4 linked regions of the Schizosaccharomyces pombe genome follow. The protein of the gene in region 1 purifies or fractionates together with the protein of each later gene. This does not show direct contact. Each region holds a gene or a part of one and is shown on either strand. Other genes may lie near its edges.

Region 1 (7,886 bases):
AGGTAATATTATTTGAAAGAACAACATTTTTGGTTATTTCTTCTTATTCTTCTGAGTCCAATCCTGCCACTGATGCTCACAGGTTCGAAAAAATTAGCAATATTGTTAAGCAATTTAAACTCAGTTGTAGCAAAATGCAAGCTCAATTTACTACTTTTGAGCTTCGTGGTGGTAATTTCTCTGCATTCATTGTTCCATATACTGAGGACACATACATATTGGTGGTCATTGCTGATCCAGAAATCGAATCAGCAGTAACCCTTATGAACATTCAAAGTGCTCGACGATTTATAGAAGCTTCAAAGAGCGCTTCGGACGGTATTCAACTGCAACCTTAATTTTCCGTTTGATAGATCCATCAATCTTGTTCTTTTTTCTTTGATAATCGTAAAAAATGTGGATCTAATGTATTTTACTCTTGTTGCTGTAATTACCTAGCCTCTTAGTTTTAGTCTTTAAAAAATAATATTCTTTATCAACTAGTTGAAATCTTTTTCTATTTTCTTTCTAAATCTTATGATATTTTTTAAAAATTTATTGTATTCAATTAATAGAAAATTATAACTCATTATCATCAAAAGTTTAGACATTGCGTAACTACACGATAATTTAATTCTACAAGATCAAACTGCTAAACGAATTATCTAAACGGATATAAAATCCAAGTTGCTTTCTAAGGAATTACTTCCAATTTCCGATCCAGAGTCTTCTGGATTTATAGAACCAGCAGTCTTCGATATTGGAGCTTCTGTTTGTTCTGGTACATCAGCGGAAACAGCACCATGATAGAGAGAGCATTGTGGATTATTACACGAACCAAACATAGCATAATCGGTACACTGAAGAATATGTTGATTTTTGCAAGACGTCCCTAACTCACAGAAACCGTACTTGGCAAATTCAAAACATATAGGGGCATTTTCAGAGTAATGAATGTGCACATATCGACAATTTGGGTTATTGCATTTTCCTAATAGAAAATACCGGCATGCAGGAATTCGTCTGGGATCTAATTCATGTGACAAATTACAATCTTCTGCTTTATTACATCGACCATTCAAAAATTTCGGACATATCGTTTTGCGGGTGGGCTCATGCACGAATCTGCATGCTGCTCCCTTCCCACAAATTCCATTAGCATTATAATAACGGCAATAAACAGCTGAAGGTGAATTTCCAACCTCCTTGAGAAACCTCTTCTTTTTAAGAAGATAAGACTTATTATTCCAATATAAATATTTTGGACATTGTCCCTTAGCACTAACAAATTCCAACCACTTGGTATCAGATACACCGGTAATATACTGCAGTCCGTCAATAGTTACTAATTGTTTAGTACCATCGGATAATCTTTGCTGGATTTTATTTTCGGCTAAAGTTTTGTATTCTTTCTCAAGCTTGGCTCTGTAGCTCTCCAAATTAGCTTTTCTCGCTTGCAAATCATGTTCAAGAATATTTTTTTTAATCAGTTGCATATGTCTGTTTTTCCGTGATACATAGTCAGATGTGGATTGTTTTTCAGGTTCCTTATTGGCATCGTCTGCATTCGATGATGTTGACGGTATCACATATGGAGGGCTAGCAGCTGTCGATTTCGAGCGATTGGATTTATTGAGGATAAAAGAATAGTTCCTAGAAACAGAATAGGGATACGAACGAGTATTCTTATTTGCTTTAGCGGCATCTAAAACCTGGGTAGGTTCTGCTAAAATCATGAGTCAAAGTTCCTCATAAATGGGCATCTTACCTTTTTCATTTTTATATTGATTGATAGCACCTAAAGGTTAGTTATATTATTACTGAGCGTTTCATAAATAAAGAAACATAAAGATATTTTTTTGCATAAAATCTGTCTCCTTGAAAATCCTAATTATTCATTGGTTTCAAAAACCAAAAAGCTCATTAGTTAAACCAATCCAACTTCAAAGTCGACCAAATTTATTCTGTATAACAGACAATCAAAAGACGTTAATACAATTTAATCAAAACGTACCAGCTAATGAAGCAATATTTTCCAGCAATTGTTGCTCGTTCATTGTGAATGCCGCCTAGAACTAATAAATAAATATAACGAACGGATGTTTTTTTTTGTAAAATAAACCAACAGCTTTAATGTCTTTTATTGAACTTGAATCGTCCAAGTATTTCCTGTTTTAAACCACCACTTGATATATTATGCAAAAGCTCTTGTTTGCTCAATGTTTTAAAATGAGTGGTTTTCCACTTTAATGGTCTTTCGTTCTATAAGTGAATCTTTTAAAAAAAAGTCTTTGAGAACCTTTCCTTAAACAAAACTGTTTAAGTTAAATGCCCAAATAATTGAACGACAACGATTAACCAAGGTCTTTACTTTTTTTAACGACAGGCAAGAGCTTATATGTTTGACAATGACCTTTTTGAAAACGTCGTTACAAAAACAAAAAAACTATGAAAAAGTCCTTGAAATAAATTCTTACAGTAATTAGATGTGGTAAGGTATTTCTAAGTCGACAGATTAGAGTAGCGTAGTCGGTGGCACCAACAATGTCGGAGTAGCATCAATGTAATTACCGACGCTTTATAACGATATTTTAAAAAAAACTATCTTAAATTATCAGTATTAAAACAATATTGCTTTAATTATAATGAAATCCTTTTTACTTAATTTAAATAATCCTTCTTTAAAGCGTAGCTCAAAATTGTTTTTTTCATTAACGAATAGATACCTCTTTATAATAATAATAATAATAAACGATATGAAAGATCAAAGCAAATATTTATAGTTCTTTTAAAATTTACTGATTATACAGAAAAAACAATTTGGTAAGTCTGTATTTCGGACGCTTAATTTGTGCTCATAGTAATCACAAACTTTGTAGAACATTCATTCATAAGTTTTCTATATGAATTTATACATTCATCAGTAAGAGATGTTTCAGCAATTTTCTTGTTTAATACCTTATATTTCCCTGCTTCAAACTTGGCGACCATATTCTTTAATAGTGAGTTTGATTCCACTAACGAAAGTAAGAGAGAATTGCACCCAATAATCTTCAGATTTTTGCGATATATTTGTTTCATGTCATACGAAAATTCTATACTCCCTTGCTTAGGTGCGGAAATATAAGACAACCTTCCCCCTATTCCCAATTGATTGAGAGCCGATTTCATCAACAAAGGATCGCCCACCGTATCGATTACCACATCAACTTTCTCAACCAATTCGTGGACCCTTTTTAATTCCGGATCCACCACTGTATTGATATCGGTTGAGCCGCTCCTAGACACTGTGATTACCTTACATCCCCAATCCTCTGCTATTTGACAAACAGCCGACCCGACAGCACCTAAGGCTCCAACCACTAGTACTATATCGCTGCCTTTGGTTTCTCCTCTGCTTAAAGCCAAATAAGCGGTTGTAAAAGGGACACCGACTGATGCTGCCTCAGTAAACGACAAATTGCTTGGCATACGAACAGCTGCTTTTTCCGGTATTATGCAGTATTCAGCATGAGTACCGTCTTTAGTGAATGATAGTTCGCTACCGCTCGTTCCAAACACTCGAGTTCCTACTAAATGAGATGCGCCACTAATTACAGTACCAGCATAATCTCGCCCAACGATTCGAGGATAAACAGTATACGGGAAACCCCCTGTTGCGTTCATTAGATCACTGGGGTTGATGGCAGCAGCTTCAATTTTTACAAGCAACTCTCCATTCTTTGGTTGGGGAATAGGAACACTCTGAATTTCAATACCCAAACAACCTGGCTTCGGTTTTTTTAACATTCGTAACGCCTTCATCATTTGATAGTATTGCATTTAATAAATCCTTCTTTTTGAAGTAAAAAACCCTCTAGTCTTACATAAAGTTATCATTATTATCTTATACAGTCGATATGTAATTTGTATATGACACCCACGGCAAAATACGAATATCAAATTTCTCGAAAAAACACAGGGCTAAAAATATTTGACTATTAAATGTAAATTACCAAAAAAATGGTTCTCAAAGCTGGAAATAGTTGCGTGCAGCCAAAAGTACAACACAAGTTTTCACTTGACCCGACATTTCAGTCGATTAGCCGGTGATTCCGTTGACTTGTTCGATCAGTATGAACAAAGTAGAAATCAATGACTTACCGAAATGCGCAGTACTTCATAAGCATAAATAACGATATATAAGAAAACCACAATATTGTTTTAGCTATATGCCTTACAGTGCCACATGATTGGATTCTATTCATTTTAAGACATGCTGACGGATTACCAATCAACAGGTTAAATTTACAGCGTCGCCACTTGTGGTAAATAGAATTTAACAAGAACAAAATACTAATCATTCCTTTTTTTTATTGTTTGAGTATTATTTCTCTATAATTGATCATTTCATAACGTTAAGGCGTGGAAATTTTCATATTATATCTACAGATAACTTTTTTGTTTATCCGTTGATTAAAAGAAAAATTTTACCACTTTCAGACCGGTAAAAGGAAGACAGTTTTTGACTTTTTTCTAATTGTCTGTACATACGTTACAACGATCTAGATTTCGTTTTTATTTTTATTATTGATAGTGTTTTTTGTATTCGTTGGTGGGTTTACTTACCAATTGCTAAGGGTTTCATTTCGCTGAAACGTGTAATAATATAATAATTTTAATTACTTTTTTTGCTTTTGTTTAAGCTGTTAATATCTTCTCTCAATATGTCATCTTCTGTCCTTGTTTTGACGTCTCCCGGCTTTGCTTCAAAAGAGGAGTCTTTGAAAAAAGTTTTTGACCTTATCGATAATGGTGCTTCTAGAGAGTTGCAAATGATAGATCGCGTCCAATCTCAACTTGTTAATTTACCCATCAATCGATATGATTCAGTTATTGCTGCCATTGATGATGGTGCATGGTCTTCAACTCTAGGACCTATACTTTCACAAGCCTTTGCATCAGTACATCCTGGAGGAACACTTCGTGTTTATTCTACTGCCGATGAAGCAGACGAGTCATTTGAAATGACAGCTTTGCTATCTGGATGGCTTATTGAATCAAAGAGTCCTTGGATTTTATCTCGTCCCAATCAGGTGGAAGCAGTTCCCATTAAATTATCAAACAAAAATGGTCAATCAGCGAGCAAAAACAAAATTCTTGATTTCTTAAAATCTGACAAGGAAAACCTTATTAGTGGTGATGATGATCAAGAACTCATCGATGAAGATGAGTTGTTAGACGAAAGTGCCCACGATAATGTTTTAAAAGTGCCCGAGTGCAAACCTGAACCTGGAAAGAAAAAGCGTGCTTGCAAGAACTGTACCTGTGGATTACGTGAAATGGAAGAACACGAGTCTTCCAAGACATCCGCACAGTTAGAAGCTGTAAAACTTACAGACACCACCGAAGTTGATTTCACCGAGAAGCTCAAGAGTAAAAATGCCGTCTCAAGTTGCGGAAATTGCTATCTTGGCGACGCTTTTCGTTGTAGTGGATGCCCGTATATAGGAATGCCTGCCTTCAATCCCGGTGACACAGTTATATTGGCTGAAAATCGTGACAAGATGTCCTGGATGGCTGATGACATTTAATTTATGGTTATCTTGTAATTGAGATGTTCCGGTTTATGAATGACCGTACTGCAGTTCTATTGCCTAATTGAAACTAAAGTTAAATACTTTTTTTTGTTAACATTTGTTTTTAATTCCGATATTTGCTATGATTTTGTAAGTTCTGGTTAAGTTTGAACTAACAATGTTGCAAATTGAAGTTGAAGTGGTTATATTACTATTGGTTTTTAGTCCCTACTATGTCTTTGGGCAAAGAAATCGAAAAACAAGACACCATGCTTTTCCTTAATTTTTTTAAAATCATCAACATTCTAGAATCTAAACTAAAAATTTGAAGAATGGTTTAGAAATAGAACCATTGCATTAAAGCCCGAAGGCATAAAAATGATGGATTTATGTTGATTCTTTTTCTTCTCTTCTCTCCAAGCAATATAGTATACGTAAAATGGGGGAGTAAAAAAAGGTTAAGCAGCGATCCCCAAAATCGAGGCTTTTTCTTTCGCCATAAACCAAATGCTAACGGTCGATACCACAATTGGACTCAACAATCCTGGTCCCAAGTTAGTAGTACGGAACAAAAGCCATTCAGATAGGAAATGAAAGCAGGCTAAATAATATGTGCATTGGCATAGAAAATACACACTAATAGAAGTTAGACAATATCAGATGATTTTGGAAATTGAATGTTTGATTTGATTCAACATACTCTGGATTTGTTATATGATATGCGCAATAAAAACGCACTATGGCACTTAGTAATGTCCAGATGCCAAAAGTACGACCTTGTAATCCATTGACTACAGATATAAAGTCAGCAAAAAATAATCAGCTAATAAAAAAAAGCATCATTAAAGAGCTTATTATGTGTATTATAAATCAATTAAACTCGTAAAAACCATGATTCTTACCTTCGTTAGTGTTGCTATATACACGCTTAGTCAACTTTGGAGTCAAAAACGATTGAACGGTATTGAAAAGCGCCGCTACACTGACCACAACATTCCATTTGGCAACTAAACTATCTGGGAGCATAGCTAGTATTTGAGACATTGTTATTTCTTAGGATATTAAATTTCTAGTAGTGTGTAGTTGAGGGATTACAGTACTAAATTGGAGAAAAGCGACTGTGAGCAATTTATAACATTGACAGGTTTTGCACTAACTTAATTAGTAAAATCGATGCGAACATTATGTTTTATATCGCTATGCTAAGACAGATTTAGTATAATAAAACAACAAAGTAAGCTTATTTTCAATGTAAAAAGAGATGCTTTTTTACTGAGGTTTCAAAGAGATTTCTTTTTCAGTGCTGATTTCGGGTTGGGATTTACCGGTGAGAATATCCTTACAACTAGGTTATTGCATAAGTAACGTCCCGGTGAATTGTTGACATTGTACGATTGTGATAACTGGGGCTGACTTAGCACATTAGCAATTAGAAAGGTAGTAAGAGATCCTCGTCTACTTATATTTTCGTATATCTTAGTAAAAACACGAAAGGATTCTACCAAGGATCAAATATACATAGCCGAATTGCTGTCCAAAAAATGGCAAGAATGTATACTTTTATTAAGTACCGGCTTTACTATTTTTAATTTACATAACTTGATAGTAGAGTTTTCAAAAATCCAAGTAACCTTAGAACCATAATCAGGAGAATTAATTATTTTAATGATCTTATTGTAAGTAACCCACCGTTTGTACGGAAACACTTATGTAAATACTAGGGATGGGTTGATACTACTTGTACAATTGTAACCTGGAACAGCTCAAAGTAGATGAGTATTCTAATATTTCAGGTTGGCGGTTAACTTATTGATTAGCAAAATATATTATACTCCGTGTGCTACATAAGAAATTAGTAGAATTCCATATGAATAAGAAATCTGCGTTTTAAAACCTAACATCTATATAAATTATTCATTAAAAAAGCATTAAACTATGCTAATTATCGCTAAGAAGCATGAGCGCAGCTTACTCCAAATTCCCAGTCACAAACCTGACCCACATCAAAAAAAAGTATAAACATCAAAATTTACAAAGAGCACATATATCGTAGACCATGGTATCTTTCGGATTATGCTTCTAATGATGATAAACAATACTTTAAGGATGTAAAACGATTTTTAATAATCGTTCGTATTGTCGACTTTTTTTTTATTTTCGTCTTTTAAATCGCACATGATTTTATAGTCTTGTCATTATTTTCTCATTCAACCACAAAGGAAAGCACATTTATGAGCAAATTTCATTCAAATATTGAAATTGGAAAAGATAATGTTGTTTAATTGTTCTTCAAATTGTGGATATCTATTTGAACGGCCTAGGACTAGAAAAATGTTAATTCCTCCTTTG
Region 2 (7,798 bases), 170 kb from region 1:
TTTCCATGTCGAAGCCTCAAAACATTATATCCATATAATGCAAAACCATTTATTCCACCACTTCTAATGAAATTTATAAGTTGGTAAAATGTCCGTATTTCAAATTGCTTCTCCACAATATCTTCCATTTATGAGCAAACGATATTACCTCTATATTGTCAAGTTAAAATGTTTACATTGATATATTATATTAAACTATAACATAACTATATTACCTTATAAGGCGATTTCTGCTGGATGCAGTTAGTGAACAAGAATTATCTGAGGATAGACCTCTAATTGCAGTCAGAGATTTACTACAGATGATTATACAAGAAAAATTTAGATATATTTTTTAAGCGATGTAATTTATTGATAGTGACATGAAAGTAAGCCAACCCTCGAAACCCAAATTTACCACCATTATGCTCTTGCTCTATCAATTAAACACAAAATTAACGACACGCTTTTCATCCTTATCTTTTTATAATTGCATTGTGAAATAAACTATCATTATTCTATTTAACGCAATGATAAACTTCGCAATCAGGCTTTACGTTATGGCTTTGCTTCCGTGAATTGTTCCCTACGCGAATCCTGCTGAATCCACTAAAAGATCCAATGCAGCTTAGCTAGCGAACATTAGCGCAGCGATCAACTGACATAAGATATCTGGGTATGCCGACGCTTCTCTTTTCCATATCACAAAAATGAGTTGGCATGGATTCAAAAAGGCCGTTAACCGAGCGGGTACCTCGGTATGTATTTGAGTGTTGAAGAATTGTCTAACATTGTGGTAGGTTATGATGAAGACGGGTCATGTTGAGCGAACGGTGGATCGGGAATTTGAAACAGAGGAAAGACGTTATAGAACTATGGAATCAGCTGCAAAGAAGCTTCAAAAAGAAGCCAAAGGTTATCTCGATGCTTTGAGAGCCATGACTGCGTCTCAAACTAGAATCGCTAACACAATCGATGCATTTTACGGTGATGCTGGATCGAAGGATGGTGTCAGTGCATACTATCGACAAGTCGTCGAAGACTTGGACGCCGATACCGTAAAAGAGTTGGACGGTCCTTTCCGGACAACGGTGTTGGATCCCATCTCAAGGTTCTGCAGTTACTTTCCCGATATTAATGCCGCTATCACGAAGCGTAATCACAAATTACTTGATCATGATGCTATGAGGGCTAAGGTTCAAAAACTGGTCGACAAGCCTTCCAACGACACTACTAAGCTTCCCCGTACCGAGAAAGAAGCAGCCATGGCGAAGGAGGTCTACGAGACACTCAATAATCAACTGGTCAGTGAGCTTCCGCAACTAATTGCTCTTCGTGTGCCTTATTTGGACCCTAGCTTTGAAGCCCTTGTCAAAATTCAGCTCCGCTTTTGTAGGGAGGGATATGAGAAAATGGCTCAAGTTCAGCAATACTTTGACAACTCTGTACGCGAAGACTATTCCAATGGTTTGTTGGATGATAAAGTTGAACAAGTTTTACAGAGTATGCGGGATCTTTCCATCGCCGGTTTGAACAACAGTCAGTAGACATCGGTTTTTTAAACACGATTGTATGTGTGCATAGCGCTATCACTCTGTTTTCTCTTTCCTTTTCTCCTCCGAAATAATTGTTACTACACGTAACCATGATCTCTTATCCCTCAATACTTTTTGTTTAACATATCCTTTCTCTTTTACTACTTTATTACCATCTTATCTTGTTTATCTGAAGTGGTTCACGGAATGTTTTCAATTTATTCAATTTTTTGTGATACATAAATATTTTCCATACTTATCTATCCTCGAGTATTTTCTATTGGTGTTACTGGAATTGAAGGGAAAGCCAGCACATATTTATTAAAGACTCAACTGTGAAGCTTCTACATCCTTTCAGTTTCGTAACGTTTCCTTTATAATTTTTTAATTGGGAATAGTTATCAAATTATCAGATAAACAAATTGGTTTTCCAATATTGTCTGTCGACCCAGCGATTCATCTACTAAACTGTGCTTATTTTCTATCTCGTACCAAGTTTTGTTCTAATAAATAACTATTGTTAAGTAAGTTTAGACCAAATCTTAAAATATAATAATTAGAAAAAAAAATGCTTTTGTTGACTTACGAATTATTAATTTGAATTGTAATTTATTAATTTTCCAAACAATAGCTATCTTGTAAGCTGTAAGTCAAGTTGGAAGTGGGTTTATTTCTATCTGTGCAGCGTTCGATGTTTGATTTTCGAACATGGACTTAAGCGTTCAATTTTACAATAGCTGTGAATGTAGATTATCGCTACTTTAAAATCTAAAATATAGTATGGAGCTACAACTGCTAGTAACGTCTATACAGGAAATGATATTAACCAAAAATCTTTCTGACTAAGAACATAAATTTAGTAATCTAATTCTGGAACCTCCTGGTTAGGCGCATCCAAATCTTGATAAGTTCTATAGAATTCCCGTCTGTGGATCATGGGTTCTTGCCTCGAATAAGATTTTTGTGATGATGCTCCAGAAGTTATCTCCTCGTCATTTCGTCGACTATAGCTTGTTGTTGGAAATGTATAGTTTGCGTTAATATTTCTGAAACCAACGTAGGGCTTGTTTAAAATCTGTAAGGATACATACGACGTGCTTACCACTTTGGGATCCATAGCCCTACATGGGTCAAGCACATATCCATAGAGACATATAGCCACCTTTTTAATGTGATCCAACCAATCCTTATGCTTTTTATTTATATGCTTTCTGACAAACTCAGGTCCTAAGAAAAGCTTCGCGCATGTTCCGACATGACACCTATATTTTTGTTCATCTTCTTTCATAATAACAGAGTCCAATTCGTTATTAATAAAATCTTCAACGGGTAATGCCCCTTTTGCTTTAATATCCACATTTTCAGGCTCAAGAAGGCAAGCAAAATTGTTTTCCAAATCTGACAACCAAATATTTTCTTCTTGACCGACTTCTTTGGATGGATTAAACTTTTTCCGCGAGTAACCTGCAGGACTATCCTGCAGTAAAGCAATTAAACTTTCGTACTCTTTACTAGTCCAGAAATCAAAAGTAGCCACTTGGCGAAGATACTCGGCGTACAGATCACTTAAACGAATGTCATGAAAATTCGTCGGCTTATCATCGTCATCTTTCATAGATGCATGTGTTTTCAATCGATCTTCGATACGTTGTGCAGCATCATTTGGTAAACTATACTTCGTACTAGCCCGATCTATAAAACGGATTAGTTTTTCTAGCAAATTTTTACATGTCTGCTCAGAAGAAGCGATTTCAAAAATAGGTATGGGATGCGTGTGAGTAGGAATTTTTGGATTTTCAGATTCAATAGTAAAATTTGAATCCAATTGAATCCCATCCACCGCTTCTTTAGCTCCATCCATATTTGTTCCTGCTTTGAAATGAACCCAAAGTGAGCGTTCATCATTCTTGATTAAATTAATAGTAGAAAGGGAAAAATGTTGTACGAACGAAATACCATCGAGTGCATTATGAATTTGCGCAACCGAGATGTTGGGCAAAACATGACTGACCAATAGTGTATTTTCCATTGCATCGTTTCGAGAGTCTTGGTTCCATTTGGAAAGTTGCGGGTCGTTAGAAGGAAGAATTGAGTCATCTGTATCATTATCAGGTATTGACGGCTTTTCGATTACATCCTCAGCGGTTGGAAGCTGAAAATCATCATAATAACCGGCGTCTAATCTGTCCATGAATTTATCGTATAACGCCCGGCGATAAGATTTCTCATTTTCAGACACTTCAAGGACTCTTCCTTGTGACTCGTCCACCCAATAGCTGTCTTCAAACCAAGCTTCGTCACAATGGCTCTCAACAAAACTTCTTGCGGTCCTAGCGTATAGATCCTGTTTATAATTGTTGTAAGTTCCATGAAGCGAGTTGTATAAGTCTTCAGTTGTTGCGGATATATGGTTTTCCTTGCTATACCACCGAATAAACCGTTCATAAGAAACCGCATTTGTTTGAGTATATGGATCAATTAAACTAGTCTCCTTGTTAGAAAACTTTGGTTTTTCACTCACATCGAGTAGAGTATTTATTTAGTCGTAACTTACGGTTTAGTAAATGTAGGGTAAGGTCCAGAAGCTAGACGTATTGTAGTTAATAGGTCAATTCATAGAATTTTATATTTATTCTTACCTCTTGTTCTATCATCATAGTAATTACCACGCTTTCGTAGAGGAGACCGTTCTCGATGATACGCAGACTGTTCACCAGGGGGGCTCTGTGAACGTCTTTGACTCCGTTCTATGCAAAAAAAGGATGAGTATTTCTATCAAACTAAACATTAACAACTTACCAGGAGAGCGTTCTCTTTTCCAACGACTGTACTCTACTTCACTTTCTTGATGGACCTCACTCATATTTTGACACTGTTCCCCTTCTATAAATACCAGCAATCGGGATTAATTTATTAAAAAACTAATGATTTCAATTGGGTCAAAATTGGTACTCAACCTGCTTAGTTGAAGAATGTTCTTACGAGAGAGAAATATCCATACAGCACTTTATGCTGGTACACTAAGTTTCATTATTCAAAATATAGAAAATTGTCAAATACTTTATTATACGCATCAGTATATCTAAATAAACTGAGATTATAAAAGCAAATGATTAAACAAAAAAGTGAGACTTCGAATTTTATGCGAATGCTATTGAACAATTAATACTAAACATTGTCTCATTATCGTCAATAAATACAATGTTGGATTACTTAAAAAACTGTGCTTACAAAGAGCTTAGAAGCACTCTCACAAAAGTAAACAATAACATCTGTTTTCAAATCACTGAAGATCTAATTTCCATTGTATAAACGGTCAAGAAAGGTACAACTTGCATACCAATAGTAACTTTGGTAGCATAGAGTAAGATTTCTTTTACTTTTGTTCTCTGCTTCAGATATTGAAGCGTAAGTTATCTCATTTCTTGTGCAACAAAAAAAAAGTAGCTTTTGCACGTCCTCTAAAAGATATGCCTCAGACAAAAAATTTAAAAAAAAAAACAACCAAATAAATAATAACATGAAAAATGAATTAAGCACGTTTGCTTTAAGAGATTTATTCGAGCTCAACACCGGGCCAACCTTGGAGATCACTTAACTGGGCTCGTATATAACTAGTGTTTGCTCCAGGATAGGACTGAGAGGCAAGATCAGTACTTTGGAATCCAATCAAAAATACTTTGCGAAGCATTTCCCAAAGTTCCTCATTTGATTCGCAGCTCTCCATTGAGGTAGAACTGTTTTGTATAATATCAATTGCAGCAAGTAGATGTTTTGCAGCATCTTCAAAGTATCCTAAATTGATGTTGGAAACAGCCATGTTTGAGCGAACTCGAACATACTGGGGCTGTAGAGATACTGCCCGATTATAGGAAGAAACAGCTTCAGTATTTTTTTCTGCATTTGTTAAAGCAGCACCAAGCTTATTCCACAATATTTCGTTACTTGGTTCGTCTTGAAGAGCTTGCCGAAAACAATCTGCAGAACGCTCATACTCCTTCAACATATACATAATTATTCCTAATCCAGCTTGTACCTTGGAGGAACGCTTCTTAGCAAGTGATAACTCATAAGCTACATCCAAGAAATACATCTGCATTTTCAAGAGATCGTTAGCAGAATCTTTCTCTTCAAACCTTTCGTTTATCTTTGCAAACCTGTTTCGGTATTGGGGAAAACTGTTGACTATCCAGTCTTCTAAGCAAACCAATGCCTGAACATTTAGAGACTGATTAACATAAGACACAGCAAGATCCATCATTAAGTCAAGATTGGTTGAATCCAATTTGACAGCTTCAAGTAGGGCTTCAACAACCCGCGATTCGTTTCCCAATAGAGTATGAATGCGACCTAACCATTTCCAGGCCTCGAAGTGCTGTGGATTCTCTTTCACAGATTGTTCCAATAACACAGCTGCTTTCGAGATAGATCCTCCATTTTTTATTAAATTCATGGCTTCAACAAATGGATCTATTCCGTTTAGCTCTTTCACAACCTCTGAAGATTCATCTTGGTTCTGTGAATATACATCTTCCGTTTGTAAAGAGTTTTCAACAACGTTATCAGTATCGCTATGCTGGAAAATTTGAGGATCTATGTTTTTATTATGAGCTAAATTATCATTAGCAAAGCTATTCACAGACGAAGTGTAAGGATCGTCAGAAATATTGTTTGACTTTAAAAAATCTTCCCATTGTTTCTGGTATTCCTCTAAACTTGCGGGCTCTAGCCCGGCGTTTTTCAATTGCTTTTGATGCTCTTCCCATAGCTCCTCAATTGATTTACTTCCAGTAGCATCCTTTTCCTTCTCTAATTTATTGGAGATTTGAGAAGCTTCCTCAAATTTCTTAGCCAACTCAGTTTCGTCAATAGCTAAAGAACTTTGTAAGGGTATTTCAGTATTTGAAGATAAATTTAGTCCAGCGGAACCAAAAAAAGATTGTTTTAAAGGTTGGTTTAAGTTTCGAAAACGGTCGTTTTCAGATGAATTGAGAAATACTTCAGAGAATTCTGATGTCCAAGCCGACTTACTATTCTGCTGCTGAAGAGAAGAAAAAGAATGTACCCAATTTTCTTTCGAGCCTCCACGAGTAGTTGTGCCGGTATGATTTCCAGTTTTTAAGCTAACTGGGTTCTTAACTACATTACCTAAAGGACTATTGTTTCCTTGGAGATTTTTGAAAGATGTGAATTGATCCTCAGACAGCGTTTGCAAAGGAGCGTAAGTACGACTTTGAGACTTGGTTAAATGTTTTCGATATTGAGCTGAAGGTGTTGAATTATTGACAACAGCTGTGGAAGTCAATTTCTTAAGAGGATTAGATAGCGTTGAACATCCTGCTTCAACAGACATTTTTGAAGAAAGTAGACTATAGCCAATATAAAGGCTCTCGACCAAAAGGAAATAGTTTTTTAAGTAGGTTGTAAGAAAATTAATATCAAAGAATGAAAAATTTCGCAACTTGATTGAATTTGCGATGTGTTTTAAAAACCAAAAATATGAAAACAAAAAAGCGGAAGAAGTAACGATGCAACTAACCAAAAAACAAAAATTGATCGCACCAATGATTGTTACAAAACTTGCGTATAAACTCAGGCATGTATTGCTGCTTATTACCAATTACAAAAATATTTAGATGAGTGCGCTCAGTTCATGTAGATGCTGAGCGTAGCACGTTAGATTAATCGCTTCTGTAATACACCACATTAACCCATATCAATTTATAATAAAGACTTTCTCTTTATTTTTTCAGACTAATCTATTGCCACTAAGGAATTTAGATTTCAACATTTTATTATACTTTTGTAAACCATGCTGCATATGTTAAAACCATAGCTTTATGATACAGAGAAAAAAATCCATATTATTTCTAAGTTCTTTTCAAATTAGTGTGATTAGAAAGTTAAACCAAGGGTTGGATTGAAGTATTAACTCTACATCTATTTATTCACCTGTTGTCTAAATTACAACGCCAAATGAATTAAATCACCAAATACTTCTGTCGCTCACAATAAAATGTATTAAAAAACTAATTAATTTTCGCTAGTCAATATTCGCTGTAACAATGGTTTTGGTTGTTTTCTGCTTAATACCAATTGATGCCACCTACAGTTCACATCCGACAAATATTTGTTAAAGAACCTGTCGCTAATTAAAGTGCTAAAAATCGCTCGTTCAAATTGTGATCTCATTATGAATTAGCATATTAGTTGGCGAATTTAATAAAGCCAAGTAATAAATTGATGATGTTATAATAACGAAAACATTGTATACAACAACAATT
Region 3 (8,906 bases), on another chromosome or scaffold:
TGCATGTTATGACTGAACAAACTTTTGCACCTTGGGGTTTGGCTCGTGTATCTCATCGTAAAAAACTCGGTTTTTTTACCATGACTCGTTACCAATACAATGAGACTGCCGGTGAAGGTGTTACTGCATACGTTATCGATACTGGTATCAACATTGAGCACCAAGATTTTCAAGGCCGTGCCACTTGGGGTGCCACCATTCCCACTGGAGAAGGCGAAGTGGATGATCATGGTCATGGCACTCACGTTGCTGGTACCATTGCAGGAAAAACCTTTGGTGTATCTAAGAATGCCAAACTTGTTGCCGTTAAGGTAATGCGAGCCGATGGTACTGGTACCGTATCAGATATTATTAAAGGTATCGAGTTTGCCTTTAAGCAATCTAAGAAAGACAAGGAATCAATTGCAAGTGTCGTCAATATGTCCATCGGCGGTGATGCAAGTACTGCTCTTGATCTGGCTGTGAATGCCGCTATTGCCGGTGGACTTTTCTTTGCCGTTGCTGCTGGTAATGATGCAGAGGATGCTTGCGGTACCTCTCCAGCCAGAGTTTCCAATGCAATGACTGTTGGTGCTTCTACTTGGAACGATCAAATTGCTTCTTTTAGCAATATTGGATCTTGCGTTGATATCTTTGCTCCTGGTTCTTTAATTTTGTCTGATTGGATTGGATCTAACAGGGCTTCTATGATCCTTTCTGGTACTTCTATGGCTTCTCCTCATGTCGCCGGTTTGGCTGCTTATTTTATCTCTCTCGATCCTTCGCTGGCTAATCATCCTGTGGAGTTGAAGAAGTATATGCTGAAGTTTGCCCTAAAAGACTTATTAAATGGCATTCCTGAGGACACACCTAATGTCCTTGCCTTCAACAATTATGAGTAAACGCTAGTTATGTGTATGTAAATGTTAGCTTGATGACCTTGATTGTTTATTTTTTGATGCTCCGATACGAATGATCAATTAACCAAGTTGTTGAATATCTACTGTCATCAGACGAACAAGCTCAGAGTAATGACATTTGTTATGTTTAGCAATGAAATCATTTAAAACGATACCAATTTGTTCTTTTAGGACTGATTTTTTTTTGTAATGTCAGGTATAGTAGAATTTTATTTCATTTTCTTATCTACTACTTTTTGCACTATTGTTATCGTTCATTCGTACTAGTAGTAAATATGTAGTTTGACAAGTATGGTATATCACTTGGTAAAAAAAAATGCCTTCTGGATTCACCGTTATAATTTTGTCTTATACCGCTTATTAAAATTGATTCCCTTACCACCAACAATTCGTTTTACAGTTCAATTTGTATTGTTCCCCTATCCTCTCAGCTTGATGATTACAAATATTTGCTCAAAGTGGATGCTTTAATTTAAATTTTCATGGTAGTTCCTACTCCATTTTACGTTTTACGTGGTCATTCTAGCAGTGTCACTAGTGTACTTTTTGACGCTAATGAATACTTATATTCTGGTGATGAGGCAGGTTTTGTAATTTGTTGGTGTCTTACTAGTATGCGACCAAAATGCGCCTGGAGAGCTCATACAAAAACCATATTGGGCATGCAAATAGTCAAGGGAGGAGCCTTATGCACTCACGGTAGAGACTGTCGTCTCGTCACTTGGAAAATCGATTTTAATTGCATGACCGACAATTTTATGTCATTATCAAAACTAGCTGAACTTCAAAATTACGGTCCTGAAGCCTCTTCTGAAACTGAGAAGAGCAGCGCATTTATATCTATTCATTCCAATATCGTTGTTAATTCCCTAACCTTTTGCCCCTTCTCTTACTCTCCTCAATCTAAAATAGTAGTTTTATGCAATACATTGAACTTTGAAGAGCTTGATGTATATGATGATGAATCATTGTATCATCCTCAAACACACAAAGAGGATTGCGGAAAAAGACTACAGACGAGAATTCAGCCAGAAGAGTCTGTTGGTAAAACAGGATCAGTAATGTCAACCTCAGTAACCGTTACTGACGAGAAGTATGTACTATTAGCTGCCGGTTACGAAAGCGGTCATGTGGTTCAGTACATATGTTCATTAGAAAATGTAAAGACTGTTACCCTCGATTTTAAAGCTGTTTGGAAGATGGTTTACGCCTACAAAAGTCATTCTCAACCAGTTTTATCGGTAGAGTACGCTGGTTCCAAATTATTTTCAACGGGTGCTGATGACTGTATATGTCTGCATCCTACTCCTTCATCTATAGCTGATGATCTTGGTAGTCTGCCTCATCCTATATTTAGAAAGACAAAGCATTGTGGACAACAAAATATTCGTATACGAAGTGATAACAAGATATTAGCAACTGCAGGATGGGATGGTCGAGGTCGTGTTTACAGCTGCCAGACATTAGCTCCTTTAGCGGTTTTGAAATATCACTCCGATGGTATTAATAGTTTGGCCTTTCATCCAGGCAGCAACGTGATTGCGTTAGCTAGTAAAGACACCAGAATATCTCTCTGGAAGTTGTATTAGGGCAAAAGTTTAGGACATTACAGTTACGTTTAATCCATCATCATTTTCAAGAAATCATTTACTTTTGGTTTGCAGGATTCAATTCATTCTTATTACAATACGCGCATTTTTATCAATAACCATTGAAATGATTTTAAACGTATTACATATATTAAATATATTAAATATCAGACTAGTAAATGCTTAATCTTCCAGTATTTTGATATCGCCTCAAATAAGATGAGCGATTCATATGCAAGCATAGAAAGTACGAAAGACATAATTCTAACCTGAGCTATATTAAGTAGTGACATTAGTTTTATAACGGCAAAGAGCCATTGTTTATGTATAGTGATGTTTATAGTACAAGGACGTAATTTTGACGGTCAAAATTTTTACAGTTAGTTTGATGTTGCTTGGCAGTTTCAATCTAAATGGAAACCTTTGCAACAGGAATTGTCATTCTCTCCGACTTCCAAAGATTATGATATTCGACGATTCGAGTAGCAACATCGACGAAATCGGTGTTCTCATCGGTATTTTTCATGACTATATCTAAACCGGATTTATAAGACTCTTTCTCAATTTCATCATTTCCTTCGATGTACCTTGATAAATCTTGTATAATTTCATCATCTGTATAAAGGTTAGTCAAAAATCAACAGCACAAATACCATAACCCGTCATTTTAATGTCGCGAAAATGCGACGCCTCGCAATGGTCATCATTACAAACACCACCAGTGGTTTCGTATTTACAGAAAACTTTCATCGGCTCTATCTTATTGCTGTAGGTAAGCGACCGATATTTCAACGGTACTCGCTCAACAAATTGTTGATTAAATCGATAAGATTTAAAGCGGTAAAATGGAGAGATATAATCGACAAGCGGTACCTTATCCTCAAAATCTGTTTCCGTCGTCCCATTTGGCGCGTTTGACGTTTTGGAAGACAAAATCTGTGATGAGTTCTCATCTGCTTGGGCGGAAACCTCGGTTATTGAGTCCATACTTAAATCAGATTCTTTAGGTAAACATGCAACATTTCCTTTCCCTTGTTGTTCGAGTAACTGTTTTTTCCTAGTGTACAATTGTGTTAGAATCTCAGTTTTTGATTTCACCAAAGTTTGATATTTTGTTAGTTCTCCTTCCTCTTTTTCTATTAAGTTATTTAAAATGTCAATCTCGGATTTTTTAATCTGTGCGGGATGCTCTTCATGTACCACAGCAATTTGTTCCGTCTTTCTGAGCCAAGGTGCCTCTAATATCTGCTCAGTTGTATCAGAATTCGTAGTTGCAGCACTAGACGAGGCTCCTGACGAGCTAATAGAAGGTCCAGCCTCCACAAAATCGGCTTTGGAACTAAGATCAACGACTTTTTCAAAGGTATCCAAGTGTGTTTTAGATTTGTTGTCAACCGCAGCTACAGGGACAGATGGAAGTTTCATATCGGCGGCAGAAGTTGGCGATCTATACGGTTTTTTATTAGACTCAAGCCGTAAGATCAACTTTGTCATTCGCCGTATTTCCTCTTCTTTATTGCGAAGAAGCGCCAAGTAATCTGAACGAGACATAGTAAGACCATTTTCACTATTTGAGGGGGGCTTTTCTAAATTAGATTGTTCTATCTTCGAATTCGAAAAGTCATCTCCATCATCATCGGAATCAAATTCAATAACTACATTTGGAGTCGAGGAGCCAAAAGGCTTCGAAGAAGATAGCCAATCGTCCTGCTTCAAAAGTGGTAAAGATATAAGATTTTTTCTTTCAGGAAGGACGGTAGGTGTACCATTATCGCCAGGTAATATATGTGTGTCACTAAGATTACTGTCAATCTTACGAAGTTTAGCAGACCTAGCAGCTTTGTCTGCAGATAGTGTCAGACTTCCTTGGGAGCTAGCAGAAGAGGAATCCAGTCCGAGCTTTAAAAATAAAGTATGAACAACCGAAGGCTCGATGCCCTCAGCAATAAAATCGTTAAAGCGCACTCCTACTTCAAACAACTGACTCACAGCTTTCTCTGCTTCCTTTTGATTAGTAGTCTTGGAATAATTTGCATCAGAATTTTTAGATGTTGAAAGAAAAGGTGATTTTTCTGATTTTGCCTTTTCACTCTTTTGATAAGAAGTGTCGGATGATAAAGCCAATGGTCGGCTAGTAGCGGTATCTTTAAGAGCCCGGTTTTCTTTAAATGACTGGGAAGTATTAGAAGAATCCGATGTTTCAGAAGACTTCGCCTTATTTCGGTTGTTGAATGAATTCTCAGATGACCGTTTGCGCTTCGAAAAGGTTTTGTTTGAGGAGGCGGTTTGAGGAAAGAAAGGAACTGTATTTGGTCCAAACATCAAAGCTGGAGGAAGCATAAAAGGTGCGCCAAATGGAAAAAAATTCGCGTTAGTTCCAGGAAATCTAGTGTGTTAGTTAGATAAGACACCTGATGGGTTGAATGTATTCAAGTTCGAAAAAAAAAAAGGAAATTTTACAAATTGTCATTCTCGTAATCCCAAAGTTGGAGTTAAACCGTACAGAACAGCATAACTAGCGGAGAATAGCTCCGTAGAAAAGATAAATAAGCTGCACTGACAGGTTTAATCAAATGCCATGCTTACCTATCAAAAGGAGGCAACTGAGGAATTTGCTCAGGAAAGGTTGGTACTTTCATTGGCGGAACTAAACTGTTAAAAAAACGAATTCATTTAAACGGTGAGAAAATTGAAAAGATGGATATCAAAACATAATTTCCAAATACATATAAAAGGCTTCTGCCAGCTTTATTTTTCTCTCTTTAAAAAAAAAAAAGCCACGCATATAAATAGAGATATGAAATGTTCTAAACGAATGCAAGCAATCGTCGAGGAAAACTCAATAAAATGCGAACAAGCCTATAAAAACAAAAAGTCTCGTTTCACAATATATTTGTGTAAATTTCCATCTCTAATCTACCTTACCTGAATTTGATTGATCTATAACAGGATCGTCTTCGCTAATTTCGCCATCTTCTTTGTCAGAGTCATTACTCTCATCTTCTTCATTCTTCTTTTTTGATTCTAAAGCCTTTTTTCGCAACTCATCGAGATTTATTGACCGGGACATTTATTTACAGCTAAAACTGGGTTAGTAGTGCCAAATTTCAACAGCAGATGTTTTGTTTGTAGTACCAGTTAAGACAGTGAAACGCGAAAAACATTAAATATTATTGCACATAAAGTTTTTTCACCTCAGAGCATGTTATTCCCTAATAAAGATATTGATGGTTGAATACTTTCTTATTTGTTCTAATGAACTGTCTGAAATATGCACTAAGACTCTTTATTTACAAAACATTCGGAATTAGTCTATTGAACAGGTATACTGAATGTAGCAAATATATTTTCAAACAATTTTAAAAAGTAACACAAGAACAGCTAATATGTTCAGCCTTATTGGCTTGCTCATACGAAAAGTGTAGCGGTGATTCAAAGCTTTCGCATCCAATTATCTTTTGCTAGTTTACAGCACAAATTTACGCGAAGGTGAAATAACATTTTTGAGTTATCAAATTATAGCGGGAAATCTGCTTTTAATGGACTAGTCAGTAATTTAGTAGCGGCCGCCTTGTCTCATAAATAGAAACATAGAACATCTGGAGAAGTTCAAGAAAAATAGCGAAAATGAGAAAACTGTGTTTTAAACCTTTGTCCAATAATGATAATGTTTTCTACTAGCATATCCTTCTATGAGCACATGAGAAAAAGAAATATTCTTTCGCTCAGTTCGGTTTTAACGTTGGAACAGTCTTTGGCCTTTATTAAAAACTTGAAGTTCATAAACTAAAAACAACAAAAACATTGTGCTTTATGCAAATTTCGTGTGCAATAAAAGTTCGGGTATCCGTTTATGATGTTTTAGCACGAAAGCCGACTATTGACAGTAACACTGGTAATAGCTCTTTTTACTAAAAACCCTCATCGAAAAGGTAGTTCCGTATCTGATTACAAGGCCGATCGTGCAAAAATACTAAAGACCGAGGAATATGTAATCGTGCAGTTTTATAACATACTCTTCCGTTGCTTAAGTTATTAATCTGAATTTAGTCTGTTTAATCCGTTACATGAAAAATTTAGCCTTTCAGGAGCTTGAAGAAATGATTTAAGATCAAAACGCTTTCATGTAATCACCTAACAAAAATGCTAGATTTTGTTATTATTTATTATTGAAATTCCCCCATAAACCTCGAAATTTTAAGACCGGTCAAGTTATCATTTGAGGCTAACAGGCGGCCTTCAAGCATTTAAAACGAAAGACCGTATTCATAGATTATTTATTGGTAATCTCAATGAGGCTAGTACCTTTGATCTGTTACTACTTGCGAACATACTATTTGTCTCCAAATGTTTGCTGTAGTGTATGCTCGCGCTCCCTCAATCGTTCAGAAAGTTCAAAGCAATGCAATTTCAATTCAGAGTTTACTTTTTCCAATTTTCGAACTCGCTTTGTTTCTCTCATCAACTGCTCTTGAAAAACTGACCGCAGTGACTTTTCGGATTTTGCGTTCTTACCTGGCATAAACTCCTCACAAGGAATTTGTTTTTCTTCTAAGAAGATTTCCTTGTAAGCTTCAAGTTCTAAAATAACTTTTTCAAGATCTTCTTGCTTCATCTGAAGTTCATTTGCTAACATGCGTTTGGATTCGGCCAAATAAGTATACGCATTTTCCAATGAATCGTATACCATCCCCTCCTTGAAGTGCAGTTCAGGTACTACAGCATTATTCTGTAAGTCAATGTTCAATGACTCATCCTTTTGGACAACAATATTTCTCACGTCAACATTTTCTCCCAATAATTTTCTGTTTTTATCCATATCGCGCAGAGCTATGTCTGACATCTCTTTAAATACGGAAACTTTCTCACCAGATGGGGACTTAGTGATTGAGATTTTTGTGTTGTTGGAAATAGAAGATGAATCATTAAAGCTTTTGACTAATTTACTAACCCTTCCTGAGATAGAAGTATTATTTTCGCTTTCTTGCCCTAGTTGCTCAAAGTCTGAACAAGAAGGTGATCTGCAATCAGTATTTACACCGATAAGCTTATCTTCAAGTAACGACTGAAGAGTAATTTTATAATTCCTTAACTCGATTTCCTTCGTTTGGTATTCTTGATCCTTTTGTACAAACTTTTTTGTTATATAAGTCAGCTCATCAGAAAGTGTATGTTCATCAAGATCTTCAAGCTTTGTAGATGGATTAATTCCAGCTTGAGAGCATACGTTTTTGTAAACAATGAACAAAAGATTAAATATTGAAATTCCTTTTCGTACACTTTCGGAAATTTGGGATTCGGTAGCATTAGATGAATCACTTTTAGCGAACGATGGCTCGACAAGCTGTAAAAAAGAATAGAGGTGCTCTTTTTTATTAATAAATGATTGATAAGAGTTTAACAAACTGGCTAATTTGGATTCACTTAACTCCAATTGCTGCTTCAATATCTCATTCTCCTTATTCGCGGTTTCCAGGTGTGCTCTACCTTCAGAAAGTTTGGAGTTTACTGAATTTAACTCTGCATTCTTTTCAGAAATCTCACACTGTAAACTATTGTTAGTTTGACTTAAAGTCTCCAAACTGTCATGGAGCTTCTCAATAGTTAGCTCTTGATCCCTGATTTGGCTTTTTAAAAATGCAGAGCGCCCGATTTCATCGTCAAGATTTCCCTTAGTGTTTTTTAAATCCTTCTGTAATCCATCCCGTTCATCAGTCAAACTAAAGACCGTGTCAAATTGAGAGAGTTGCTCATCCTTTAGGCATTTCATTTCTTCATCAAGTCTCAAAACCTTACTTGATTCCACTTCAAGATTGTTCTTTAATTCATTAAGTTCTTCCATAAGATATTCATTTTTTCGAAATACATTCTCCATATCCTTTATTGACGACTGTATTTGTTCTTGATAAAGTAGATCCCTTTGTTCACTAACAGAAGACTGAAACTCCAATAAGCCTGCTTTTTCTCTAAGACTTTCGGAAAGTCTTGAAATTTTTAATTCTTTTGCTCGAAAATCATCATCATAATGACTAATTAATGCCTCCTTGTTGTTTAACTTTTGACGCGCTTCTTTCATCTCGGTTTCATAATTGGCGTTCATTTCTCTCAGATTTTTTTCATCATTTTTAACAGTTTCTAGAGCTTCTTGCAATGACTGATTTCTTTCTAGCAACGCTTTGATTTGATCCTGTAACTTCTCGGTTTCAAGTTTTAAATCCCTGTTTTGGGTTTGAATTTCATTAATAGAATTTTGAGCTATAGAAAGCTTTTCTTCATAACTGATAGTTTTATTTTCGGCTTGTTTCAAATTTGACGCTACTATACTTAGAGATTTCTGCAACAACTGACGCGCGGCTTCACTGTTAAACTTGTCTTCCAATGCGTTGTTATGCTTGGACACAAGGCACACATACTTGTC
Region 4 (7,280 bases), 890 kb from region 1:
AAATATATAAGTTTGCGACGAAAATCGCATTTGTATTGAGGAACATCTTGATCCAAGGCAGAAGGAAGACGTGGATCGTCCCAAGTGGTTGTTTTCGTATTGTGATCAACAAAATAGACACGGGCACTATTTGTAAGACGCATTTCCCAACCACTAGGTAAGGGACCCAAATGCGAAAGTGACTGTGGCTGCATCAAGCTACCCACAGTAGAAGAGCCACCATTAGGTCGCACAAGGGGATTTCGTGGATCAACCCATGTGGTAGTTCGCGTATTATGGTCAACAAAATATGGGCGGCCTGTATCTGTGTATCGCATTTCCCAGCCGAAAGGAAGGTCGTTTCCGGAATCTGATTGCATTAAAGATGGATTAGAGTCATCAGGTAAATGTCTGTTCTGATGATTAAGTCTTTGGCTATCACTCGACGTATTATGTACAGGATTTGTACTGCTAGCCGGACGAGTCCAGGTGGTAGTGCGCGTATTATGATCAACATAATAAGTGCGACCTAGAGAGTCAGCACGGCGTTCCCAACCTGGAGGAAGACGTCCATATTGGTCTTCAAACGATGACATGATATGTGCATTCGAATTCGAAAGAGCACTAGTATTGTTAGTCTGGCGATTGGTTACAGGACTAGAACGATGACTTGCGCCAGTACCAGCGCCAGTACCAGTCCCATTTGAAGTTGCAGCAGAAGTGCCATTCCGAGTCGAATTCGAAGTGGACTGATTCGAGGTATTAGTTGTGGCAGTCGGACGGGGAGTAGTACGAGTAGTACGTGCAGTTGTGGTTGTAGGTGTACTAGTAGTGCGATTGGCTGTAGTAGATGAGTGATTTCCGGCGGGAGCCCTAATTTTAGACGGGGCCACCTTCAATACGAGATTTCCCAAAACGGAAAGATTAGTGGTGGAAGATTTTTTCAATGGTCGAGTAAGCGACACTTCGCGATTTGATCGAAAACTACCAACTTCACGCATACGAAAGGATACTAAGCCAAGGAAGCCTTGATCTTTCTTTTTGAACTTTTTCTGATCAAAAAGGCGTATGGATATAACGCTAGATGGCTTAACAGTTCTAGAATTTAGTTAGTATAACGGAACAAAGAAAAGGGCAAAATCAACATATTGAAAAAAAAAAAAGAAAAAGATGCAGTAGTAATAAAAGATTTGCAAAAAGGATAGGATATGATAATATACAAATGATGTTGTTATTAGAAAATTGTTAAAAAAATTTCGTTATGGAGCCACAAAAACTATCCGACCATCAAAGAAATGCTTAGACTCCGAACTAACGTGAATACTAAGAGTATAAACATATCTATCCAAATCTAAGAACATCCAAGGTCCAATCTCTACCATCTCTTTTTTTTTTATTTTCAATTGATCATGTTATCCGCCGCATTTGTCATGTGCTTACACTTCAAATCCTTCATTCCAATAAGGGTTCACCGATTTTTTAATAACTTTCGTTGTATGAGTTTGCTCGCCATCTACCGTTAAAATAGCAAAGGGATCGGGCTGTCGAAAAAGATCCCGTTTACTTAATCCATCAGCAGCTACTATGTAGAACCGGACTCTTTTCGCTCCTTGTTCCATGTTCTTAACATATAATTACTTGGATTCCTCTAAGCGGAGAGGTGAAAGTCGCGAAACTTCACGAAACCTTCAATATGTAAGCGATTGTGGTAAATGGTAAAAGCGGATACGTATACCACAAAAGGTTTCAATATTGAAGCGGGGGTTCCGAGCCAGTAGGAAGGTGGGGGAGTTTGGTGGTAGTATGAAGAACGCTGTAGTTCACTACGCAACGATATTCTTGTTTTGCTAGGGAAATGCGTTTAAAGATACTAAGCGTTCGCTGGCTAAACAGCAACTTTATATGTAATTTAAAAAGGCAAAGAGAGTGTTGAGGAAATCGACCAATTTATCTTTTTCGTTGTAGAAGTAGTAAACCGATATACGATCTAAATTGGCTCTTTTTATAAATCGACAGACGAATGCTCGAATGCTCGAATGCTCTCTGGAATATCCTAGTGTAAATACCTGTTGGTTGGCTAAATAGTGGATCAATAGGTGTAACTCGCAAGTTCAGCGAATATCCGCTCAGCTAATATTTGGCAAATCGAAAGAGTAAACAAAGGTCATCGAATCTGAGTGGCACAGCGTAGAAACGACTGACTTGATTATCCTTGTTACTTTTATTTATCGCTTCCCTATACGAGTTGGGTAAAAGGCAGGAAGGAAATTATTTGTACTGGAATCCGGAATATGCCGCAGGTAGCTAAAAGAAATTGACTCGACATGTACAATATATGAACATAAAAATCGACTATGTAAAAACTACTTAATTAGATATACACCAAGCTTTTTTTGTTAAATGTCATTTTACATCATGATGACTAAAAATTAATTTCCTCACAATTATTACATATAAAAATGAACTTGTAGACTTAGAAAAGAAAGTCATACATTTTCTATATAAAATCATTAAACAGAATCAAGAAATTTATTAGAAATATAAGAAGATCCTCAGCATTAAACTCTCCAAAGGAGAAGAGAAGAACGTTAATGTGTTTCACTATATTAAACACAAAATGTAATGGTGAACACAGAGAAGTATCTCCTCATTACAAAAATATATATATAATGAAATTATACATTGGTAGGTGTTTAGTTTTATTAATCAAGAAAGGAAGGAGATGACTGTAATATGTGATACGGTGTATAGAGTAGCTTCCTTTTCTGACCCCTTTTCTAATCAAGCGGATCAAGATTATGACGAGAAATTAAGCTGAGCAAATAAATTTTCAAAAACAAAAAAAAGAAAATTTTGAAGATTATGAACGTGCATCAGAAGCATAAAAACGACAATATACAACAAAATTTTATGAAGCTGGCATTGTAAACACAAAAATGCAATCAACTAGTCCATACCCAAGAGGAATTGAAGGGTCGGTGAATTACATTATGTCAGCATATATGTTTTAATATAGTGAATGGGATCATGACTTTAAAGGAAACCCGTGTAATCCAACACAAAAGAATAAACAAGGAATATAAACATTTAACGAATGAGTTGAAAGAAATACTAGTTAATTTCCAACATACTGTTAAATGTCATTTCTAATCTTTTCCCACCTAACTGTTATTGGTGACGATTTGAATGCTCATAATTCATTTTTCACTTTTTCAAGTCATCAAAGCGATTACCTAATACGGAGCGAAACCACGGGCTCTTCCACGATATCCTCCTCTGCCACGACCCCGTCCACGTCCACGTCCGCGACCACGACCACGGCTCATACCAGGAACGTTTGTCCGCTTGGGTGTAACCTACATTTCAAGTTAGAATGCATGTTGCTGGTAGTTACTGTGATTGTTTTACATACCTTTAAAGGTCGTTCATGCAACATCGATCCATTTAATAAAAGAGCATTAGGCACTAAGCTTGGTTCACTGAACTCGATGTATGCAAATCTACGAAACTAGGTTAGCTGTACATTCCAACGTCATCCACAAGTTCGATTCATACCCTTTTGGATGTCCCGTAAACTTGTCACACAAAATGGTAACGCGATTAACAGATCCACAACTAGCAAAATGACTTTGCAACTCCTCTGGAGTAACACTGTAATCAACATTTCCAACATAGACACTTTGAGCATCAATGGATTCCTTATCGTTTCTCAAAGCTTCCGTTTCATTATCTAGTTGTTCTTGCATGGCACGAAGCTTTGCAGCCTCTGCTTCCATTTCAGCAACTCGCTCTTTCATTTCCAATAGTTCCTAATCATGTAAGCAAATAATTCCACCATACTACACAGTCTGAATTCCTACCTTTTCTTGGGTATCTAAGGCATCTTGATCACTCATTTTTTCAAATTTTCTGCTACACGCGTGTGGTTGGAAGTAAACTGTTCAACCAGTATTCTTTAGCATGTTGAGGGTGACAAAAGTTTCCCTCTATGCTCTCAGAGTAGCGACGCTTTGTTTCGCGCAAATTTACAATAGCGTATGGCACGATTAGAGACGGAAAAACCGATTTCTGAATGAAACAGCACAATATGGTGTAATATTTTCGTATTCGTTAATACGTACAATATGTGTTTAACGAGGATTTGGACTGCCTGCTTATAGTTCGGATGCTTGGTTAAGATGAGAGTGCTCACAAGTAAGTAAGGTGAGGTTTGTGGACATTTTTGTATGGCGTGTTTGGTTTTATTGTATTGCTAAAATCACAATTCATAAGAAAGCGATCTTTAAAAAACAATTAAGGAGATTGACGGGATATGCCGTTAAATGTTTAGTTTTTGGACGTAACGAATACCTAAGTTGCTTGAAGAGCTCTCCCACTTGAAGTGAAATAAGTGGAATCCTAAAGAAATACGATAAGACGTGATAAAGTATGGCATAATGTAGTTCTTTCATGGAACTTCGAACTCAATTATTACACACTCTTCACCATTGATATACGTATCCAGGGTTGGTATTATCTTCATTAGCTCGATAGCCAAGGGTGATGAATTACAAAAATATAGAAAAGGGATATTTTTGAATGGAAGTCTATTTAAAATAACTTCCTGTTTTTTAATTGATTTCTTTAATAATATTCCGTATTTTTATATAAATTAATTTATTTTTTCTGATTTTTACCATTATTTCTTTTTTTACTTTATTTTGTAGTTTTTTGTGTTTTTTTTTTTTTGTTCAGCAACCCATCTAACGTAATGCTATCGTTTATATTAATTGTTTTTTTCTTCTTCTTTTGTTTCTACGCTTTAAATGTAAAAAGAGTCCAAGTCTAAATAAACCAATTTTTTTTTTTTTTTGCCTGGGGATACTAATAATTTAATAAAATGGAAATTTCCCAACAATGTTTATCTATCAACCACAGCAAGCCGTTCCCAGCTTAACTAATACTAGAATAAAACAAATAATAATAAAGCATCAAGTAACGGTATATTTCGTTTCATATGCGAATTGTAGAACCAATACTACAGATACTTCACTATTTATTTATCCGGTAGCAGTCTACCATTGATTACCTTCTAGACACCGTTGACGATTCACATACCGAAGCGGAGAAAATTAATAAATCAGAGTTTTAACTCAAAGGAAGCTTCTATGATCCCTTCCAATCTCGTACTTCTATTCAAGGGCCTATATATCTCTTGATATTTAATTGCTATGGCAGCTTCCTTAAACCAAGCAACATAATGATCAAACAAAAAGCAAATTGTTAGGCAATTTTAAGATCATTTCATTAAAATGTACGAAATAATTAGTTCATATTCGAGGCTTATATCTTTCTCATTATCGAACATTTTCCATCGTTCATCTATCTACTTTGCTATTCTAGTTAACAGTGGTTACTTGTGCATCTAAAACGATCGGTGAAACGAAGATAGAAACGAGAAAAGAATTCAATAAGATGAGAAAAAATAATTAAAACAATTAGTAAAAATGAAAATAGATTGTAGACGATAGCATATGTGTCTATAAATTAGTATATACGACTTGTTCTATTTTATATTTATTTATTTATCACGCACAAGTTTAAGGAGAAATAATGCACTACACAGTCACGTTATCATAGAATAAGGAAGAAGAAGTCAGAACGGGATAAATTGATCACGAATCTTCCTTACCAACTCATCTACTATCTCGACATAATTGTGCTATATTCCACTAAATTTCGTTAAATTCTCTATCGCAATCAAAGGAACATCAGCACTAAAAAGAACTCCTCAGGGGGGGCGGATAACTTTACCCTCTACCAACAACAACCAACCAAGGTTCTGTTTTCTGCTACATTTCTGGGTTCAACATGAGAAAATTTGCTTAACAAAATATTAATACACACACGATCTAAGTGAATTGCTACGAAATTCTAATTCTCCCAAAGTATTCAACGCGAAACCACTGTTTTCATACCCGCCATCCTCTTCGAACAGCCAGGCCGACTTTTCTTCCCTCTACTAGGTTATTTCGTTGCCGAAGTATTCCGCCAATCTCTTTTTGAAACCTGTTTCTTGTACAGGTGTTGGCTTTCTAGAGATTGAGTGTTTACTGGAATTTGTTTTTGTTTTCTTACTATCTTTCCTCTTCTTCCCCAGGTGTGTACTGTGAAGAACAAATAGAGTATATATATATTTCTGTATTTATATTCATATCTATATTATTTGTTCAACTTTCAAAGAACGACCTGTTTGAGTCTATTAAAGGAGAATTTAAGAAAACTGTGAATTTTAGGTATCATTCGACCGACATTAAGTTATCATCTGCTCGACCTCTCAAACTTTGATTAAAGAAGAAAAGTTCGGAATCGAAAGTGTGTGTGATTATGAAGCTGCTTCAAAAGAAAGGTTATAAAGTTGAGCGCCCTCTGAATAAGGGATCGTATGGCACTGTAGTATTAGCCCATCGTCTTTTTCGGACTCCCCGTTGCAAGGATTTGAAGTATGCCATTAAGTGCATCAAAAAACCTGCTTATACCTTTTTGCAAGAAGTCAATATCTTGCGCCAGCTATCGCGGTCTCGACACCGCAACATCATTCATTTCGTTGAATCTTTTGAAGACAATGTATACTATTATGTCGTGCTCGAATATTGCCCTCTTGGTGATTTATACGAGTGCATCTTGAATAATGATTTTCCAAATGCAAAGAACCAACCTGAAATGATTAAGAATATTTTTCTTCAAATCATTGATGGTGTTGCACATTTGCATTCTCATGGTATCTACCATCGTGACTTAAAGCCAGAAAACTTTCTTCTTTCTCTTTCAGAAGATGGATCTGAGCTTGTGGTCAAGATCAGTGATTTTGGACTTGCTTGCAGGGACAAAATATCTTATGACTTTGGAACTGGCAGTGACCGTTACATGGCTCCTGAACAGTTTGAGGAAGTTGATGGTGCTGGTTACAGCCCTCGTGCAGCGGATATATGGGCTCTTGGTATTTGCCTTTTAAACTTAATTTTTGCACGTAATCCTTTTACCTATCCACACGAAAAGGATCCTATATTTGCTGATTACATGTTGGACGCAATGACCTTATTTGACGTTTTCCCTACGTTGAGTCAAGATACATATAACGTCTTGCGAGCATGCCTTTGTGTGAGTCCAGAGAAACGTTCTCTCGCCAAAACGAGGGAAGCCGTACTCGCGGTTACCAAGTGGACGACAGATGATGAGGAATTGGAAAGCTTCGTTAATGAAGAAGAAGAATTTCGCGCATCCGATTTCATGCCTGCTGAGGACAACGTTCGTTGTACTCA

The links.
Region 2: the proteins of red5 (region 1) and pir2 purify together in Schizosaccharomyces pombe (affinity purification with mass spectrometry; 2 studies listed by BioGRID). This does not show direct contact.
Region 3: the proteins of red5 (region 1) and red1 purify together in Schizosaccharomyces pombe (affinity purification with mass spectrometry; 2 studies listed by BioGRID, with this or other methods). This does not show direct contact.
Region 4: the proteins of red5 (region 1) and pab2 purify together in Schizosaccharomyces pombe (affinity purification with mass spectrometry; 3 studies listed by BioGRID, with this or other methods). This does not show direct contact.

Annotation. Positions count from the first base shown.
Region 1 is NC_003423.3:1,046,230-1,054,115, reverse strand, and holds red5 (zinc finger CCCH domain-containing protein), read right to left. Parts: upstream 2,514-7,886; 5' UTR 2,037-2,513; coding exon 1,994-2,036; exon of another isoform or gene 1,920-1,993; intron 1,784-1,919; exon of another isoform or gene 1,778-1,783; coding exon 1,748-1,777; exon of another isoform or gene 1,703-1,747; coding exon 645-1,702; 3' UTR 501-644; downstream 1-500. Other genes in the region: Gtr1/RagA G protein Gtr1, read left to right, coding at 1-338; SPOM_SPBC337.11 (peptidase), read right to left, coding at 2,824-3,801; dre2 (anamorsin family protein), read left to right, coding at 4,686-5,552; Erg28 protein, read right to left, coding at 5,996-6,173, 6,238-6,328, 6,440-6,581.
Region 2 is NC_003423.3:1,216,088-1,223,885, reverse strand, and holds pir2 (C2H2-type zinc finger domain-containing protein), read right to left. Parts: upstream 4,482-7,798; 5' UTR 4,378-4,481; coding exon 4,314-4,377; intron 4,262-4,313; coding exon 4,154-4,261; intron 4,100-4,153; coding exon 4,069-4,099; intron 3,998-4,068; coding exon 2,371-3,997; 3' UTR 2,296-2,370; downstream 1-2,295. Other genes in the region: BAR adaptor protein Hob3, read left to right, coding at 690-737, 780-1,526; peroxisomal targeting signal receptor Pex5, read right to left, coding at 5,071-6,867.
Region 3 is NC_003424.3:5,068,315-5,077,220, forward strand, and holds red1 (protein Red1), read right to left. Parts: upstream 5,585-8,906; 5' UTR 5,559-5,584; coding exon 5,414-5,558; exon of another isoform or gene 5,136-5,413; coding exon 5,075-5,135; intron 4,875-5,074; coding exon 3,148-4,874; intron 3,104-3,147; coding exon 2,898-3,103; 3' UTR 2,617-2,897; downstream 1-2,616. Other genes in the region: serine protease Psp3, read left to right, coding at 1-881; ASTRA-associated protein 1 Asa1, read left to right, coding at 1,382-2,488; protein mcp3, read right to left, coding at 6,822-8,906. UniProt on the Schizosaccharomyces pombe protein: Promotes the exosome-mediated degradation of mRNAs containing a DSR (determinant of selective removal) signal sequence from mitotic cells.
Region 4 is NC_003423.3:1,936,882-1,944,161, forward strand, and holds pab2 (poly(A)-binding protein Pab2), read right to left. Parts: upstream 3,908-7,280; 5' UTR 3,876-3,907; coding exon 3,840-3,875; exon of another isoform or gene 3,789-3,839; coding exon 3,535-3,788; exon of another isoform or gene 3,480-3,534; coding exon 3,392-3,479; exon of another isoform or gene 3,336-3,391; coding exon 3,213-3,335; 3' UTR 2,490-3,212; downstream 1-2,489. Other genes in the region: HECT-type ubiquitin-protein ligase Pub3, read right to left, coding at 1-1,077, 1,420-1,598; serine/threonine protein kinase Ksp1, read left to right, coding at 6,346-7,280.